Drosophila melanogaster: one gene and its partners. The protein of the gene in region 3 interacts with the protein of the main gene of each other region in a pairwise test. Each region holds a gene or a part of one and is shown on either strand. Other genes may lie near its edges. The genes, in order: CG15169, Pdhb, eIF2Bbeta and inv.

The links.
Region 1: the proteins of eIF2Bbeta (region 3) and CG15169 interact in a two-hybrid assay, tested with the Drosophila melanogaster proteins (one large-scale study listed by BioGRID).
Region 2: the proteins of eIF2Bbeta (region 3) and Pdhb interact in a two-hybrid assay, tested with the Drosophila melanogaster proteins (one large-scale study listed by BioGRID).
Region 4: the proteins of eIF2Bbeta (region 3) and inv interact in a two-hybrid assay, tested with the Drosophila melanogaster proteins (one large-scale study listed by BioGRID).

What each region holds. Positions count from the first base shown.
Region 1 is NT_033779.5:18,989,256-18,992,961, reverse strand, and holds CG15169 (uncharacterized protein), read right to left. Parts: upstream 1,943-3,706; 5' UTR 1,888-1,942; coding exon 850-1,887; 3' UTR 553-849; downstream 1-552. Other genes in the region: CG46465 (uncharacterized protein), read right to left, coding at 1-303; CG15170 (uncharacterized protein), read left to right, coding at 2,735-2,807, 2,875-3,009, 3,191-3,706.
Region 2 is NT_033777.3:29,111,126-29,116,697, forward strand, and holds Pdhb (pyruvate dehydrogenase E1 beta subunit), read left to right. Parts: upstream 1-1,945; 5' UTR 1,946-2,015; exon of another isoform or gene 2,016-2,083; 5' UTR 2,084-2,132; coding exon 2,133-2,324; intron 2,325-2,868; coding exon 2,869-3,030; intron 3,031-3,303; coding exon of another isoform or gene 3,304-3,771; exon of another isoform or gene 3,772-3,821; intron 3,822-3,968; coding exon 3,969-4,380; intron 4,381-4,441; coding exon 4,442-4,561; intron 4,562-4,622; coding exon 4,623-4,834; 3' UTR 4,835-5,072; downstream 5,073-5,572. Other genes in the region: alpha-Man-Ib (alpha-Mannosidase class I b), read right to left, coding at 1-150, 234-747, 916-1,188, 1,286-1,372; Atg14 (Autophagy-related 14), read left to right, coding at 5,343-5,572. UniProt on the Drosophila melanogaster protein: The pyruvate dehydrogenase complex catalyzes the overall conversion of pyruvate to acetyl-CoA and CO(2). Might play a role in regulating synapse structure formation at neuromuscular junctions. Might play a role in maintenance of mitochondrial morphology.
Region 3 is NC_004354.4:2,702,828-2,706,771, reverse strand, and holds eIF2Bbeta (eukaryotic translation initiation factor 2B subunit beta), read right to left. Parts: upstream 2,202-3,944; 5' UTR 2,055-2,201; coding exon 1,999-2,054; intron 1,936-1,998; coding exon 1,849-1,935; intron 1,780-1,848; coding exon 1,323-1,779; intron 1,233-1,322; coding exon 847-1,232; intron 779-846; coding exon 706-778; 3' UTR 555-705; downstream 1-554. Other genes in the region: CG2680 (uncharacterized protein), read left to right, coding at 1-443; Ugalt (UDP-galactose transporter), read left to right, coding at 3,316-3,484.
Region 4 is NT_033778.4:11,473,790-11,478,727, reverse strand, and holds the start of inv (invected), read right to left. Parts: upstream 3,021-4,938; 5' UTR 2,753-3,020; coding exon 1,459-2,752; intron 1-1,458. UniProt on the Drosophila melanogaster protein: Engrailed (en) and invected (inv) are functionally redundant transcription factors in neuronal precursor cell NB5-3 specification.

The DNA of each region.
Region 1 (3,706 bases), on a different chromosome or scaffold from region 3:
GTACATAGATACGCAACCGTTCAATTCGCCTAACTTTATGTGGCACATCTTTTTGCCCTTCCTAGTTCTGGTTTTCCCCTCATTGGGTGAGCAAAATTTACAACTGAGGCATCTTATAGGCGGAGAAAGCGTTGTTGTTTCCTCGACAGGTGACGAACTTTCCTCCATTCCGGTGGTATGGTCTGAGCTCATAGTGGACTTTACGGTGGGTAACACTGTACTTGTTTGCTGCTGGTAAAGTCCCTGGACTTCGAGGACTGACAGTATAGTAAGTAGAATAATATTATTGGAAAGCAGACACATTCTTAAACAAAACGTATTTAATTTCTAGATATATTCAATTTTGGTTCCGCTGATCCGTGCTTATAGACACGCTTCGATGACTTAGCCAACTGCAGTCTAGGTTCTGTTGAGCCATTTTATATCCTCTAAATGATATGGTTTCAGGAAACGTACTCAAGGGACCAAATTTAAAAACCGTTCCCAGTATCCCTGATCCATTAAGCAGCTGCTGAACAATAATTATCTTGTAATATAAGTACTAGTTATGTTCTCAATCAAATGTTTCGCCTTGAAATGCTTTATTTTATATACATTTGCATATTAAGTACAGTATATTTCACTATTTAAGAAAGAAAACGAAAATCCCCACGCGCTGCAAATAGATTAAGTTTCGTAACAGAAATTTATATTAATTGGGCTTATGTATTTCATAGATAAACTAATTTATCTAGACAGACAGCGATATAATCTGCGATTTTCAGTATTAGTCATACCTATCGATTTTTAAGTATGCCAATCTCCATTTACTTTTTAATTGTTATGACTCAGAATAGCGTGGGTGGATTTTTAAAAAGCCACCTGCCAGCTAACCAAACCGATGCTCCAGATAAGGAATAGCACCCCCGGATGATGGGTGACTGCTGCAGAGCCCGGAGTGACTTCATATTCAGTCATGTTGTGAACATTACAATTGTCCTCGTAGCACGTGGGACACAGCTTCTCATTCTCGGCGCAATAGCGAGATAGCTCCATATCTAACTCGGATACACAGCCCCGATGCAGGAAGTACTTCTTCCCCGGAACGACATTGGGATCGTTGAGCAGTATGGTGCGACATCCATTCCTTTTGCCAGGTATCGGGCCGCAGTTTGACTTTGTTTCATTGGTGATCGTTTTGTTGCAGAACATGCAGGAATAGCAGCTTAGGGGTTTCTGTTCTGGATCTGCAACTGGGGGCTTGTGTGGTGCCAAGGTTGTTTCTTCTGGGGGTGGAGTTGTGGTGTCCTCCTGGGGCCCATCAGCCGGGTAATCGGGCGATCCTCCCATTGGTTCCTCAGTTTTGTTTGTTGGGTGAGTTTCCAGGACCTCCTCTAGTGAAGTTGATGGGCGAGTATCGGGAGTCACTGAAGAGTCTGAAGACGAGTCCGAAGTATCCATATGTCCGGACGATTGGTCTACTTTGTCGGTTTGAGGAACTTGAGTTGGCGCAAAGCCACCGGAATTCCCGGTGGATTCCTTTTCTGGCTCTTCTTTGTCCCCTTCTAATTTGTTATCCGTTTCCGAATTAGTGTCTAAGCTTGTGATTTCCGGTTCCTTCTCATCCTCTCCAGACTGGTGGCCTACCTGTCCAACTTGACTTTCAATAGATGACAGTTCCTGTGTAGGCTCAGGGTCATCAGTTGGACTTTGTGTTGTGTTCAAAAATAAGTGACTTTGTCCTAGGGATTCTGTGTCATTTTCACCGGCTTCAATGCCTGAGTTTTCTGACTTTTCACCCGCTAGTCCGCCGCTTAAGCTGAACTCTTCAATGTTGTCCTCCTGCGCCCTGCTCCATTCAAGGAGAGCAGTTAGGGAAATCCAAATGACCAGCAATCTCATCCGCATCGTGGTCACCGATCGGTTGTAGCTTCGCAGAGTGTATGACTCGGATGGCGAATGAATCTTGAACGGAACCCGCCGAGTGGATGGGCTTATCAGAATGTATCTTTCGTTATCGGTTTATCCCCGTTTTGAAGAGCTCTGCAAGCATGGGTATTTGCTCCGTTCTGGCCACCGATGGGTTTGTTATTCCCGACTTGTCCCGTGCCTGTTTAGCTGGCAACTGAGGTCGATGGTCATTAAGCCGCCTGGACATGTGGTATGTGTACTCGAATCCGCTGATTGTCACGCAATTATCCGGTCTCTAAATTAAATCGATATGTTGGGGCGGTCGCCGGACCCTTGACCCACACTTTTGAGTAGCTCCAGACTTTCCCGCAACAAATGCGAGCCCTTAAATTATTGATGATGTGAACGTTTCGATGGAACCTATGGGACACTCCGATAATGGGGTCAAGGCACAGAGCACATTATGGTCATGACATTTTTGGCCATTATGCATATGCCGGAATAAAGTTGGGTAACCTTACAACTGTGGTTGGGAAATTATCTATATCGAAAGGATTTCGTTAGGACATCAAGCAACTCTCTATTTTAAGCCTTAAAATAATTGAAGAATTTCTACCAACGTAAGTTTTTTATGGTGGCAATTTAAGAACACATTTAGCGAGTGTAACTTTTTATTTAAATGATAATGTTTGGTTATTTTAAAGTTAAATGGCTTTTTCCAGCTTATCCTTATCAACAGTTCGCCTATATCAACTCATTGTTATATTGTCTGATAAGTCATAAACAGATTAGGGATTCCAATTTTGCAAACAAAGGTGCACTACATTCTTTATGAGCTGTCAAAATGCGTGGACTGCAGACAAATCGCCACTCAAGCTTCCACCACCTGCTCCTCCTTTTCCTGGTCCTCCTGAGATGTGAGCTACCTGCGATTTCCCACGGAAAAATGCGTTGTAACCTTAGAGGGGTTTTTTTTTTTAATAGCAGACCGTTGTTTTGGCATTGTTTGCTACCACTGCGATTCCATTGCCCTGCCGGAATGTTCCCAGACCCTCGGAGAAGTGGGAGTTCTTCCCTACAAGGAGTGCGCTACCGAGCTGACGTGTGCCATGTCCATTGGTAAGTGAACCTAAATGTGATTTGTAATTGTTTCTAAATCGACGGATAGTCGGCCATTTTATAGAATCTATTTTTGCAATTCATTAATATTTCAAAGGTAAAGACCATTGATATTGATTGATACATATTTGAAATATTTAGTAACTCCGATTTTCTATACCATTAATCGCACACAAATTAGTGGACTCCATTACATACCGCGGCTGCGGAGCAGAAACCCCCATCATCGGAGCGACTTACTCAAAGACTTGCTCAACGAACCTGTGCAATGCGGGTGTCTATCCGCCGGGACGACTTAAGTGCCATCATTGCGCTGGACAGGAATGCGTGGCAGCTCCAGCATCCAAACCAAAACCCTGTCGCTATCATTTGGAAGAGGATCAGTGCTACACGGATGTCATAAGTTCTTCAGATGCCTACAGAGGTTGTACCTCCGAGCAGAATCACACGCTGTCCACTTCCGCCCAACTGTGTGAGATCAATGGCTGCAATGAGGAGCAAGGAGCTTGGACCCAAGTCTGCGCCACCTGCGATTCAGCAATCGGCCGGGGTTGCAAGATAGATCTCTTTCAGGTCAACACCGGCAGGTGCAATGTTAGCTTATACGAGGAATGCCAGCAGGATGTTCTGTTGGGTGAGCAAGAGGATAAGTACTGCTTCAGCTTTCGCAGACTAAGCCGCGTTGTCAGAGGATGTT
Region 2 (5,572 bases), on a different chromosome or scaffold from region 3:
CAGCCTTGGCCAGAAACATTGTATCGCCGCTCAGGTGATATGCAGACAGCAGTCCGCCTAGGACACGTATGGTGACCTCGAATAGGTTTACATCGCGCTTGGTATCAAAGCGCAGTGATTGCTCTACCCAGTCGCGTCCTTCCTTGAATTCTGTGTAGATGTTATTGAGAAAAATAAGGAAAGTATTTCCATAAACTAATGATTTTGTGCACATTAGGATATAGGCAACTTACCATCATCCAGTCCCATTATGTACATGGTATCCAATGAGTCAACAATGGTTAGTCCCAGACCGAACCACTCGTGGGAGTACTGGGAGATGGGCTTCAGGTTGTCGTGGCCCCAGGCATACTTCTTGTAGCCAGCCCAGGAGTGCTTGAAGGCGGCTACAACAGCCGACTGTCTTTCGTTGGTGGCGCCATGGAAGTGCTGGCCCTTGGCCAGAATGGGCTTGATCTTTTTGAGATGCTCTTTGAAGCTAACGCCGCCCAGAGTGAGTGGGTTCTTGATGGCTTGCTCAAGCTGCTCGCCCTCGCTAAGCGGCTCTGCTGGATCCTGGGCGACGGGCTCCTCTACATTGTTTAGGATGTCGATTCCACCGATGTCCTGCTCCTTGTTACTATCGGGGGGAGGCAAGGCCACGGCCATGGCCGAGGCCTGGGGAAGTCCTTCAGCAGCCACCGTCTCCGGCAGACGGGCCACGTTCTCCGCTGAGTTCGCTTCTCCATAGGCAACTAGCTCATTAAACTGAAATTGATTGATATTGAGATATCATTAATAGATTTTACTGGAAGTGTGCTGCGTGGGCAATAAATCAAACACCAATAGTCAATCGTATTGATACGCATGCTATCTTAATAGGCAAACAACTCCAGCCACTTAGGCACTTATCAATTAAGTGGGGGGCCTACTTACCTTATCACTAACCGCCTCCACCCGGGGTGCTCTCTTATCGGCCGGAACAGGTACCGCAGCAGTGTCTTTGGGCACATCCTTATCCACCCCCGGATGATGGTGCGGATTGGGCAGGGGCATTTGATATGCTGCCACCTCGGCCTTGGTGTCCACATCCTTTAAGCTGGCAGCCAGCAGCTGATCGCCACTTAGGCAGAGCAACACTGTCACGCAGAATCCGGTGATGCCCAGAATAATGAGATTGCGCTGACAACGCGGTAGCTGATTCCAAGCCTGAACCGTGAGACAAAAGATCGTACTTATAAGTTCTGGGTTTCTTGAGGATGTCCCAGGACCCCAGCAACTGGACTTCTGCCAGGTTGCTACCTACCCGACGCAGGCTCTTCCTGCCCCGCTCGTCCGTCGTCGCCGCTGATCCCGGCGGGAGTGTGAGCGTTATGTGACCGCCGTCCTTCATAGTGTTTCACTAAATGCCGCCGCCGGAATTCAGAGTGTGGGAAAGTTGGATGGGAAATTCCACAGCATTCGCCTCGAATAAAAATCGATTGCTGTGCGCCGCTGGCCGCGGAGGAATCGGAGCTAACTAACCAAGGTTGGTCCAACTACTACCTCTTTTATGCCTTAATCATCTCTATACGTGCCAGTGCATTAATTTATATATGCTAGTTCTGGCCCACACTATGCAAAATTACAAATAAGAAATTCTAAAATTATTTCACGAGAGCTGCATTTTTGAGCTGCAATGCTGCCAACTTGTTCTTCAACAGTCCGGCCAAAACTAAAGATGGGGCTAGCAATCATTTACTTTTGAAATACCTCTTAAATAAAAAAAAAGCAAATTAAATTATATTTTAGATATTATCACTACTTTATAAAAGAATTTTTCTAAAGAATATATATTAATACGAAGTGGCTAATTTTTTCGAAAATCCAGCTAACACAGTATGAATTTAGCCAAATCTAGAGTGGCCAACACTAGTCCCACTTAACAGTGATTTATTTGGCAGCCCTGGTAAGCTCCAAGTGTGCCCACAATACGGCATTAAAGTGGTCACATCTGGTCACATCCCATTTTCACATCAAAATTTCGACGGAAGTCGGTGCGTAAACCCATAGCCCATTTTTAGTTAGATAATAGCACTTAAAACCCAAAAAATAACACCTACAGCCGGCAACGATAGCGATAGACCCATAGGAAAGCGAACCGCAAACCGACGATGCTCCGAACCCGACTCATCCAGGCGGCCAGCTCCGCCCAGCGAGCGTTCTCCACCAGCCAGAAGGCCCTGGCGGCCAAGCAGATGACCGTGCGAGATGCCCTCAACAGCGCATTGGACGATGAGCTGGCCCGCGACGACCGCGTCTTCATCCTGGGCGAGGAGGTGGCCCAGTACGACGGTGCTTACAAGGTGAGATCTGCGACTTTTCCTGCCCCTGCGCGATTACGTAAACAGCAAGCAGGCGGTTGCGACGACGACAGCTGATGCAGGTGGCCGGGATGGGGGAAGTTGGTGGTCAGCGGGGTGATATATGCGTGCTATATGTAACTACTGATAGTGATTCCGAACAGGTCGACGCGAATCCGAATGCGTGATCGGAGTGGGCAAGGTCACGCAGAATATGTGTGACCGACTGTCTGCTGATTATATAGATTGGCCCATAAAACAACGATTTGTTTACCCATTTGAGGTGGATTGATAACCGGCGTTAGCAATTCTATCCTATTAGATTCATTTAAACTATGATTGTGGCTACTGGTGTAACAACTAGATAGGACACGCAAAGTACAATACAATTACCTGTTAGAATAATGGTATTTCCTGAAGAAATCTTAGTTAATGAGTTATCAGCTTGGAAAGTTTTACAAACAGATAAAAGGTTCCCATCCTGAATAAGCCCTACATATTTTTCTGGTATCCTAACATTCTATTAATCATTTAATGCCCTTTTTAGGTTTCCCGTGGACTGTGGAAGAAGTACGGCGACAAGCGCGTCATCGACACGCCAATCACAGAGATGGGCTTTGCCGGCATCGCTGTTGGCGCTGCCATGGCCGGTCTGCGTCCCGTGTGCGAGTTCATGACCTGGAACTTCTCCATGCAGGCCATCGATCACGTGAGTTGCCTCATCCTTGTCCTAAGAACCACTCCCCGCACTCCAGCAGTAGGCTAACTACTCATATTATCTCATTGCCAACAAAACGTAAACCAAAAGAAAGAACACGACAATCCAATACAAATGCCTCACAACTCCAACAGCTAGCAAATAGACCAATTCAAGTGCAATATGCAGCGGCGCTTAATGGGATAATATGGGTGGATTAGCTCCTGCCCCAAGTCATAGATCGGACCTCACTAATCCCCACCCATATTATCCGATTATGTGCAGGCAAAGATACTCGATTGCGCCAAGCCGCCAGTCGGTGATCGCCCTCTGCCAATAAGCCTCATAATTGAAAGTCCACGCTCAACTTGGCTGAATGAGATCAACGACATCCTGCACAGAGATCGAGTCGGCGAGGTGATTGCGCCGCCGCTGGACAAGAGCAAGTCGGACAAGATGGAGGCGGCCCGCCTCATCGTCATTCGGCGGCGCAAGATGAAGAAGCACAAGCTAAAGAAGCTGCGTCGCAAGATGAAGTTCGAGTGGGCCAAGGTGCGCCAGCGCCGCGAGATGCGCAAAGAGAAGGCCTTCCAAGCAAAGCTGATATCCCAGATCAAGCAGGCGGAGGCATTCAGTGCGGAGCAGCACGTGGCGGAGATCCTGCGGCAGGCCAACGAGACGCCGCTGCCGCGTTTCTGGAAGGGACGCCGCCTGCCGGCATTTATCATTAAGCAGAAACTAGGCATTAAGTAAAGATCAAGACGGAACAGAAAGGAGTGCATCAAATAAAGCGTATTAACTTGAATTGGCGAATTTGCAGTTTGATGGAACAGGCATCCACACTGAGCATTATTTTCATTCATTTTTCACTTTATTATTTCTAAGTCATATTACACATTCATAATAATATGGATTGCTAAAATATATCCCTTTAAAATTTCAAATCTTAGATCATCAACTCGGCGGCCAAGACCTTCTACATGTCTGCCGGTGCCGTCAATGTGCCCATTGTGTTCCGTGGTCCCAATGGAGCCGCTTCCGGTGTTGCCGCCCAGCACTCTCAGTGCTTCGCCGCCTGGTACGCCCACTGCCCCGGCCTGAAGGTCCTTTCGCCATACGATGCCGAGGATGCCCGCGGACTGTTGAAGTCCGCAATCCGTGATCCCGATCCAGTGGTCTTCCTGGAGAATGAGCTGGTCTATGGCACGGCATTCCCTGTGGCCGATAACGTGGCCGACAAGGACTTCTTGGTGCCCATCGGCAAGGCCAAGGTAATGCGGCCGGGCAAGGACATTACCCTGGTGGCGCATTCCAAGGCGGTGGAGACATCGCTTCTGGCAGCTGCCGAGCTGGCCAAGAAGGGTACGGCACTGTTTTACTTTGAATGACGCGAAAAGTAGCTAACCTTCTCTTATATGTTTAGGTATTGAGGCTGAGGTCATTAACCTGCGCTCCATTCGTCCTCTGGACACGGCGACCATCTTCGCCTCTGTACGAAAGACCCACCATCTGGTGACCGTGGAGAACGGCTGGCCCCAACACGGTGAGTGGGAAATTCAGCTAATTGAAAGCCTAGCGATATTTATAAATTTTTACCCTCTTAGGCGTTGGAGCTGAGATCTGCGCCCGCATAATGGAGGACCAGACCTTCTTCGAGCTGGACGCCCCCGTATGGCGCTGCGCCGGCGTGGATGTGCCCATGCCCTATGCCAAGACGCTGGAGGCCCACGCCCTGCCCCGCGTTCAGGATCTCGTGGAGGCGACTCTTAAGGTCTTGGGTGGCAAAGTGGGCAAGGCCGCTGCGGCCAACAAGTAGGAACTCAGGACTAGCCAGCCTCCCGATCGGAACCCCCAGCTAACTAAATTTATAGTCCAAGTCGAAACGCTGCCTCTGGTCTAACCGAGCTGCCCCCATAATAGTGCACCGAACTGGAAATTGAATGTTCTGAAAATAAAGCACTACCGCTTTCGGGTTTTGATTAGTTTTCGGACGTTCTAGTTTAATTATTTGGTTATAGAAATCTCTTGTGAAAAATAAACGAAAACATAAATACATTTTGAGTGCTTATATTTTGGTATAGTTAATGATATAATATCAGAAGATAAAAAATATATAATTCTTATCGTTAATGATTGAAGTTTAAAAAGTGCGCGCACCGATGAAAACGTTTTCCTATTGAACGCTGTCCAACACTGACGACATCTATTTTTTCGATATCAGCCTATCGTTTAGCAATAGGTGTCCTCATATCGATAGCGATAATAGCAAAGTTAACAATAACAAAAGATATAACATAACAAATAATTGCAATGCTTTGGCTGTAATGGCAAACAGCTCCAGCTCCGACGAAAGCTGCAAGGCCCCCGACAACTTTCGCATCTCGAGCGCCTCCACAAACGGCGAGGACGAGGAATCAGATGTCGCAGGATACACAACAAAGCGCAGGCCAACGGCAGCGACGAAGGAACTGTTGAAGGATGCGAACGCCAAGGATAGGAACGCCACCACGGGAATGGGTGCCCACATGCGGTGCCCACTGTGCCACAGCTGCAG
Region 3 (3,944 bases):
ACTTGGACCTCTCGTACGTGGAGCTGGCGAAGGCCATTAGGCACCTTCAGGAGAATGACGACTGCCAGTTGATAGCCGGCGGCAGCGATGTCATCATGCCACTGGCGGAGAATCTCAATGTGGCCGGGTTCTTTGACTTCCTGGAGCACGTTAAACGCTACACGCAACGCGAGGCCACGTTTCTGGGCAAGCCGTCTCCCATTTTGGGCGAAATGTTTGGCGAAATGTTCGAGATTCGTGATTGCAAGCGCTGCATCTTCATCGGGGACACACTGGTGCAGGATGTGCAGTTCGGCAAGGCCTGCGGCTTCCAGTCCCTGCTGGTACTTAGCGGCTGCCTAACAAAGGAGGACATGCTGAACGCCCCGGTGGAAGCGCAGCCGGATTACTATGCCGATAGCCTGGCCGACTTCACGCAGCTGCTTGAAAATATTCAAAAATAGGTTGAGGATCGTGTGCCGCAGGGAAATTACGAGAAACGTGCTACCTGAAATTAACTATATCAACCCAAGATAAAGTAGTAATGTTCTTAAATCGAAAACCGATCCACCGTTATTGCTTATTCGATATAATTATTGTTGAATTTTAAAGTTTATAAATGTCTACGAAATTGATGCATTTAAATCAATCCAAATCGAAATGGGCTTGCTACTTTACTGTAGACTTTATTGGTAGAATTGCTAAAACAACGAGACAAACACGATTTCAAATCTCCAAATCTTCGGGATGATACAGTTCCGTAAGGAGGCGGTACACATACGAGGGGGCATGGCCACCGCTAAGTAAAAAAAGAATCCAATAAATGCAATAAAAAAGAGTCGAAAGGCCGATAAGCGCACTACTTACGTGTTGGATATGAAAAGGGTGACCAGTTCCGGAGGCACGTAGTCGAACATGGGACTGTATACCTTGGCTTCGCGCGCTGGAATCGAATCGTAGGGTATCACATCCTCCGCACAGCCGACCATATTGAAGGCGTCCTGCTCGCACAGATGCAATGGTGAGAGTTTGTACATGGGCGCCAGTACAATGACCGGCACGGAGTAATGCTTGGCGGCCAGGGCCACTGTATACGCTCCACACGCCGCTCTGAGTCCTCCATTAGCCAGCACGCTGTGCGTACCGATTATTACCTTGTTGACGCGCGACATCATAGCGAAGATGGCCGCATCTGGGATCACAACAATCTCCACATTCTTCTCGTTGGCCAAGCTGGCGGCCAAATTGTGACCCTGTAAAAGACATAGGCAGTTGTTAAGCAACATAAGAGCATTTTCTTACACCCCACAAATACTGTCGTCCCATAAAGAGACCCAACTAACCCGGCAGGCTGGCGCACATTCGGCTACGATGATGGTGAGAAACTGACGCTTTTTGATCGCCCTTTTGAGGAAATTCTCGACGCTGCGCGAGTGTCCCAGTGTCAAGATGATCTCCGACGAATGGATGTGCTCCTCGGCCTGGACGCAGATGTTCTCCGAACTGGTCTCCAGCTCCGTTTCCACCTCCTGCAGGTGGTCGAGCAGCGCTTCCCGCAATCCATGCTGGGGCACCGAGTAATCTACGCTGACGTTGCTCTCGCTGGTCTGCGTGACTAGCTTGTGAAGCGACAGCGAGGCCTGTGAGTCGTCCGCGAAGTGTTGCACCTTGGCGTGCAACAGATCGAACTCCTCGCGAGTCAGCTTGAGGATCCGCCTGGCAATGTTCGAGGTAACCGTCTCCTGGGGCAGAGCTGCCTGCAGGATCTTACACTGGTCGCGCACAATCTGCATGAGAGCACTGTCAAATGAGGGGGAGTTGTTTATCAGTTAATGTGTTATCCTTGGTGTGCCATCCCTTGCAACTCACTCGGCGTTCTGCCAGCTCTTGCTCATGATGATGTACTTGAAGATGTCCAGCGTCTTGTTGGTTATGTTGTAGGATCCCTCCACCAGCCTGCAAAACATATGCCACTTTAACAACCAAATGAATCGCAGTGCCTGCCAACCGACGACTTACCCCACTTTGATGGCGTGGATGAGCTGTGTGATCTCCTTTAGCGGCTGTTCCTTCATCGTGTCCTGGCGTCTCTGGTCTTTGCAATTATGAATTATCAACTAAAGTGGCCAACTGTTACCATTATTCAGTTAGAAAACTATTTACGAAATCGCCACACCGAGCAATGTTATCGATAGGCGGCAGGCGAAAGCGAATTCTAGTGATGAACTCAAAAAAGTAAAAGATTTAAAATCAACACGGAAATTATTAATGTTTTCATTTATTGCATTTGATTAAATTAATTTATTTAATCCCCCCAAATGGCAATATATTTGTAATGTTGTATTGTAAATTTGATGCATCGCAATTATCAGGTGCCGCCAACAGGTTGTTCATCATTCACTGGCTTAATTTGATGTTTTATGTTTATTTTAATTGTCTGCATATACTGGCTTTCATGACGTATTTTCAACGGCAGCTGAGTAAATAGCCAACCTAGTGCGGCAAAAATAAATTTCGCTGGGCTTAAAAATTTAACATACATGTGCATGTAGAACAAGCATGCACAATATGTATTTATGTATTTCGTCCATGAGTTTTCTTGTTTTCTACTTTCGATCCCCATGCTCTCTTGTTAAATTTTAATTTTAATTTTAAAGTCATAATATATACATTAATTTAAGCAATCTCAATGCCCGATTATTGTATATCTAGCTTTTTTTGCAAGCAACTTCTTTTTTCGCGAGTTCCGCCACAATGCCAGCACTGTGACTATCGAAAAGTCGGTCTCTGCTGCGAAAATAGCAACAAAAGCTGCACGCCATGGGCGTAGCTTGCTTTAAAATGGGGATCCATCCCCCAGGAGCATATGTAAGGTGTATTTACTTTACTGAAATGCACAATGCACTTTTAAATTTTGTTTGCATTCAATTAAGAAGGTTTCGCATTTATGACCCCCGTTGCAAGCCCAGGACCACGTCCCTGGCGCGCAGCAACAACAACCACATAGGCGGCGATAAAAAGCCGCCGCTGGCAGAAGCTTCGGGCTCTGATTGTTGTTTACGTGTCGCCCGGTCCAGTGGAGTCGTCTTCATTTGCGCTCTTCTGCTTTTCTGGCCAACTTGAAGGGAACGAACTGCCAAACGGAACGGCCCGCCGACAACTGATCTTGGCCAGGAACGGAGTCTTTGTGTACCCCCAACTACGGCGTTTTGTTTGCCTTCGGTTTCTATTTGGTTTTGGAGTTGAGACAATAGAGCTAGAAGCGTAGCACCATGAATAGCATACACAGTGAGTATTTGGCCTTTAGTGCGGTGGCGTTACTCCAGCGGTACTGACATGGCGCTCCTGCCCGCCCCCGTCACGTATTCCTATTCCCATCGCACAGTGAACGCCAATACGCTGAAGTACATCAGCCTGCTGACGCTGACCCTGCAGAATGCCATCCTGGGCCTCAGCATGCGCTACGCCCGCACCCGGCCAGGCGACATCTTCCTCAGCTCCACGGGTGAGTGCTTATCCAAAAGTCCAACAGGTCGTCGGGCTCAGCAGGTCAAGCCGGTTCACCGCTTAGCAGATTCACCTCGTTGCCCAGAGCCACTTCCACGAAACCTCGACGTGGGTCTGTCCACGCAAGCAGCAACATCAGCAGTAAAAGCAAACGAGTCGAAGAGGTGGAGGTGAAGGTGGTGTAGGAGCAGTGGCAGGCGGGGAATGGTCGTTCGGGTAGATGTGAAGCTGCCAAAGAAACTGATAAGCAGCCACTTCCGCATTTAGCTCCTAATAGCTTGATAAAACTGTTGGGGAACTTCTACCGCGATAGCTCAAGGAGGTTTGGTTGGCATTCTTGAATTACATATGGGTTTACATTTTGCCATTAAACTTTGGTTATTGCTTTGGTGACTCTGTGTGTAAGTTAACCGGACTTATTTGAAAACCCGAACAGCGATACTTGGACTTATTAGTAT
Region 4 (4,938 bases), on a different chromosome or scaffold from region 3:
ATTGGGAATCAGGTAGTTAGAAGGGACGACTTTTGATGGATGAATTACAATTATTTACTGATATTTCAACGTTACTTTCTTCAAGCTGGTGTATTAAGATCTATAAAACGTGTGGATAATTGGCTAAAAACTGTCGTAAGTGCTTAAACAGCTGAGCTCGGCAATCTTACAAATTGCATTCAATGATACTTAATAAAGCAATTAAATTTAACTAGTTAAAGATAAAGTAACTCTCGTAATTATATGCCCATTTAAGGCTGATATTGTAATTGAATAATGCTATTGTCAACTACTCTGTTGAACACCAAAGTTTAGTAAGGTCTTAAACGTTTTAATATTGTGTTATAATATCAAGTATCTGTGATAAAATGCATTCAGTCTATTGAGTAAACCTTTGGCAATTCATTACCGATAATAAACTAGCTGAGCAAGCTAATAAAGGTAAACACCTTAACCAAATGACTGCCATCAAGTGGCTTAAATCACTCTCCATTCGCCACTTGAACCACATGATCCATGGACTTACCCGAGATTCCAGGGGATTAGCCAAAAACTATCAAGGAATCCGAATTGCTTGTTCAAACAGCAATAAGCCACCCCATAAATGAGCATATGGGGCACTCCCACCCATCCGATTCCCCCCCAAATTTCAGCCATGAAATTATTAGGCAAACGATTACGAATTCCCTGCGGTGGCATAAACTAAATTCATGAGAGTGCCATGATTGCTGGGAGATTGTTTTGGGGTTGTTCTCGACGGGTTGGGGTGGTGCTGCACACACAAAAACACACACGGGGTGGGTGGGGTGTAGCGGCATAATGAGCTTAAGTTATGTTACATAAGCCATAAGGACATGAAAACCACTCGAGCAGACACTTCACTTCGGGGTGAGTGTTCGCCTCCCTTTCGCTCGCACTCACTTCATTTCGGTGGTTGGCAAACTAATGAGCTGTGGGTTGCTGTGGTTTGGCTCCGTTCGCCGGCTCTTCTGTGGTGTCTGTCGCTTGTTTGCACAACCGCTTTATGAGCCACCACTCAACAGCTCGTCTCCTCGAGTGTGTTTGAGTTTGGAGAAAGAGTGAGTGACTAGCAGTGCACTGCTTTAGCATAAGATGTAAGATGCTTTAGAAAATGCAGGAAATATCCATAGAAACATATGCAAGTAAATAAATTTTGCCAGGATCTACTACAGAATATCTATAATAATACTGGCATGGTGCTGGAGAATCGTATGTTAACGAGAAAACTTGAAACCAAAGGCTTTTCTTTCAAGCTTATGAAGATTAGTATTCAAAACACCAAAACGTAATTTCATAAACTATATTTGCATTCACAAAGTTCATAAAAAGTACGTTAAACGTAGAAATATACAATATTATTTCATCAATATTTGTACTTATGTTTCGCTAGACAACTTAGATAACTGAAGCAAAATTTTTAAAGAGACTTGGACTCACCTGAGCTGGGACGATCGCTGTAGCGGGTGCAGTAGACCCACGCTGGCCAAACGATGGGAGTGCCGGAATCCTCGCCCGATTTACCGGATGCTCCTGTGGCACCCGCTCCTGCCGCTGGCGGTGGCGACTTGACCAGATCCACTGGTGCCCCCGAGGTGTTCGTCGTGCTGCTGCTGGTGGCGGTGCTATTGGAATCGTTGCTGTTGCTGCATATATTCGCCAGCGAGCTGGAGAAGCTCAAGCTCGAGTTGGCGGCGGCGTTACTTTGAGCCAGATTCAGTGGCTTTCCCGACTTCTTGGGCGCCTTTAGGGGAGATCTGTTGCCATTGGTATTTCCAGAATTTTTACTGCTGCCAGTACTGCTCCCACTTACACTGCCACCACCGATATTGCCACTTAAAGCACCAATCTTGGGCAATCTGGAACCAAAGTCCGCCTTCAGGATATTGTCTATGCTGAATTTGAGCGCCCTTTCGTGCAGATTTTCATTGTTATTCAGGTGATTCTGCATGTGATGATGGTGGTGGACCTGATCCCTTTGCAGTAGCAATTGCTGATGGGGATGCACCGCTCCACCGGGTCCCAGACCCAATGCCGTGGCCGTCAGCTGAGCCAGTGCATCCTGACCGCTGGGCACTGTGGCAACCGCCGCCGCCGCCATTGCCATTTGCAGCTGTTTTCCCGCCGCCGCTGCCGTGAGAGCGTTCACCCTGGCGGCGGCCATTAGATGCATCTGCTGTTTCATCAGCTCCTCGGCGTACAGCTGGGACTTTCGCAGGAACTCCTCCTGGAAGGTTCCAGTGGAGGGAGGCAGTTGCAGGAGATCTTCGGGTGAGAAGGGCGGACCTTCGCTGGGCGGCAAAACAGTGGTAGCAGTGCTGCTGAATGCCGACGGTCGATAGATTTGGCTGATCAAAAGCCTCTGCCTGGCCTGAGCTTGAGCGGATAGCGCAGCCTGTGCTGCTTCCGATTGTTCCTGGCCCACACTCAAGACACTATTCTCACTGCAGCAGCTGGCCGGATCCTCCAGGTCCAAATCGTGCTCCTCCTCGACCTCTTCATCCTCTATGTTCAGCTGCTCCTCGCACTCCGTCTGCTCGTCCTCCTCCTCCTCCCGCACTTGGGGCGAGTTGCCCGGCTGGACAAGCGGCAAGGGCAAGCAATCCGGATGCATTTTACCTACTTCCTGGCCACCTCCGCCCGCTCTCCTCTCCTGCGCGTGGTCCTCTGCCTCCTCTAAGGAAGGAATAGTCAGCTTGAGCGGGGGCGGTCGAGTGCTGGCCAAGGTGGACATCAGTTTGAGGGCTTAGGTCTTCAGCTCGAAAGTTCACAGGGACCAAAAGCCGACGGCATTTCAGGGCAGCCAGAAAGCATTAAAAACATTAACCACAGCCAAAAGATATCACTTGGATTGGCAAATACGCCGCGCTATCGTCTTCGATTGACAATTGGTTTTTGGGTTGGGTGATAAACTTGTCGATACCGACGTTAATCCGCTCGTCCGTTAAAAACGTAACGTGCGCTGTTACGAACCGCCGACCAACTGATTCTCTCGCGAACTGAATAGCAAAGCGAGACGGCTGCAGCTGAGAGCCGATTCAAAAAGAGAACTCTCTCTCGCACACGCTCTCTCTCACTCTCCGTCCTGCTCTGGCTTTTCGAACATCCAATCAGCGGCTGCGGGGCGTGCCCTACTGTTGTCCCGCTCGCGCACACGGTCAGCCGCCTGTCAGTTGAGGTTATGTTAAGTGTTTGTATATTTGTTAATTAAGTGCGTCGTCGCCGCAAAAAGAAAAAAGCGAAAAAGAAGGAAAATAGGGATAAGAACTCCACTCCATTTCCATCTGCGCCTTGTCGTTTTGATTATGCGCTGCAGCATTTAAGTCGTAAATCTCACTCTATGTAGGCTGCTCTCGCCCTCCTCCTCCATCATCATCACTTCACTCCCCCTTTCTTTCGCTCCTCTTTGCGGTCTGGCATCTGCAGTCCTTTTTTGCTGGCATCCTATCCGCCGTCCAGCATTATATACCCACACACACATATGGAGTGTGTGCCTGTTTATATACAACACATGCCACAGCTTCCCCGTCTCCTTCACTCCTTCGCTTCCTTTTACTTATTGTTCTTGTTGCTCCGATACAACGAACATTTTTGCGCTTTTTGATGTCATTGTTGTTGTTAGCTGCGCTTTATAAATCACCACCACAATTTTTGTTGCCCCAACATCTGCCGTGATTTCATAATTGCTTTTGATGCTTTTTTGTCGCCGTTTTATTGTTTGTTGTCGTTTTGCCTTCACACATCCCATCGGACAACATTGATGATAGTTCTGCGTAAATGAATACCAATACGTGTGCAATTGCATACGCTTAATCATGGGCGTAGATTCAAAAGCACTGGGGGGATAATGATCAGCTTGCTGGGTTTCTACTGAACACCTTGTCCGGCATTTAAAGACCTCTTAGTAATGCCAAAATAATTGTAATTTAAATTTGGTCCCACAAGCTAATCAATCTGATATCAATAAAAAAATCAAACTTTGATATTCATGATTACTTACATAAGACATTATTTTTAGAATTTAAGTCACTTCGTTCATGTACTATGGAAATTATCCTCCATTCCTGACCAATTTAAGTAGCCCCTTCTCCCGCCAATGAAAATTTGACATACGTTTGCTTGGGCTTGTCTAATTGGCGAACATACTGCATTGTTGCTGTGCTTTGTGCTCATAAATCTGTATTTAGCTTTCCTTTCAAGTATTTGAGACATTTTTGTGTGTGTCATGTGTGGGGTGAAAACGAGTTTGCCTTGTTTGAAGTGAGGTTGTGCAGGGCATGCCGATCACTCTTTTAATTAAATCAGAAAACTTTGTTGTAGTCCACGAAAAGATTTCTAGGAATGGCTGCATTCATTTGCATCATTTGCTGCGGACCTCTTTAGTGACACAGCCGAAATCGGTTAATGTATCATATTTCATATCTGAAATCGACTATCAAAGTTGCACCTTTTCTCCGTTATCGCCGACAGATTGGACATAAAATATCGGAATTCCAGCGATCTTTTTATCGCTGCTGTTGAACCCATAAAGCCCGAATCATGGAGTTTTTCGGGCTGTCCGCGCTTTATTATCGCTTCGAATCGTATTGGTGGAACCACGCCCCGAAATGCAAAGCAATCCAAGCCAGTTTAATAACTTTGTTGCACCATTACAAAGAAGCCAATGCCAGATGCCGACACTGCGATAGTATAAGCACCGACAAACGAATTAATCAGGCTTAATTTCCAGCCCTCGACAAAAGAAACAATTATACGCAGTATGATTAGGAAAAGGAATGGAGTACAAGAAAATAGTTTCATACAGTCGAGCTTCTGTCACTTAACCCTTACCATTTATTTGCCTAAAGACCCGAACATTACCTAATACAGTATAATTCGCTTAGCTGCCTCGAGTACTTTGCACAATGCCTCGATGCAGGT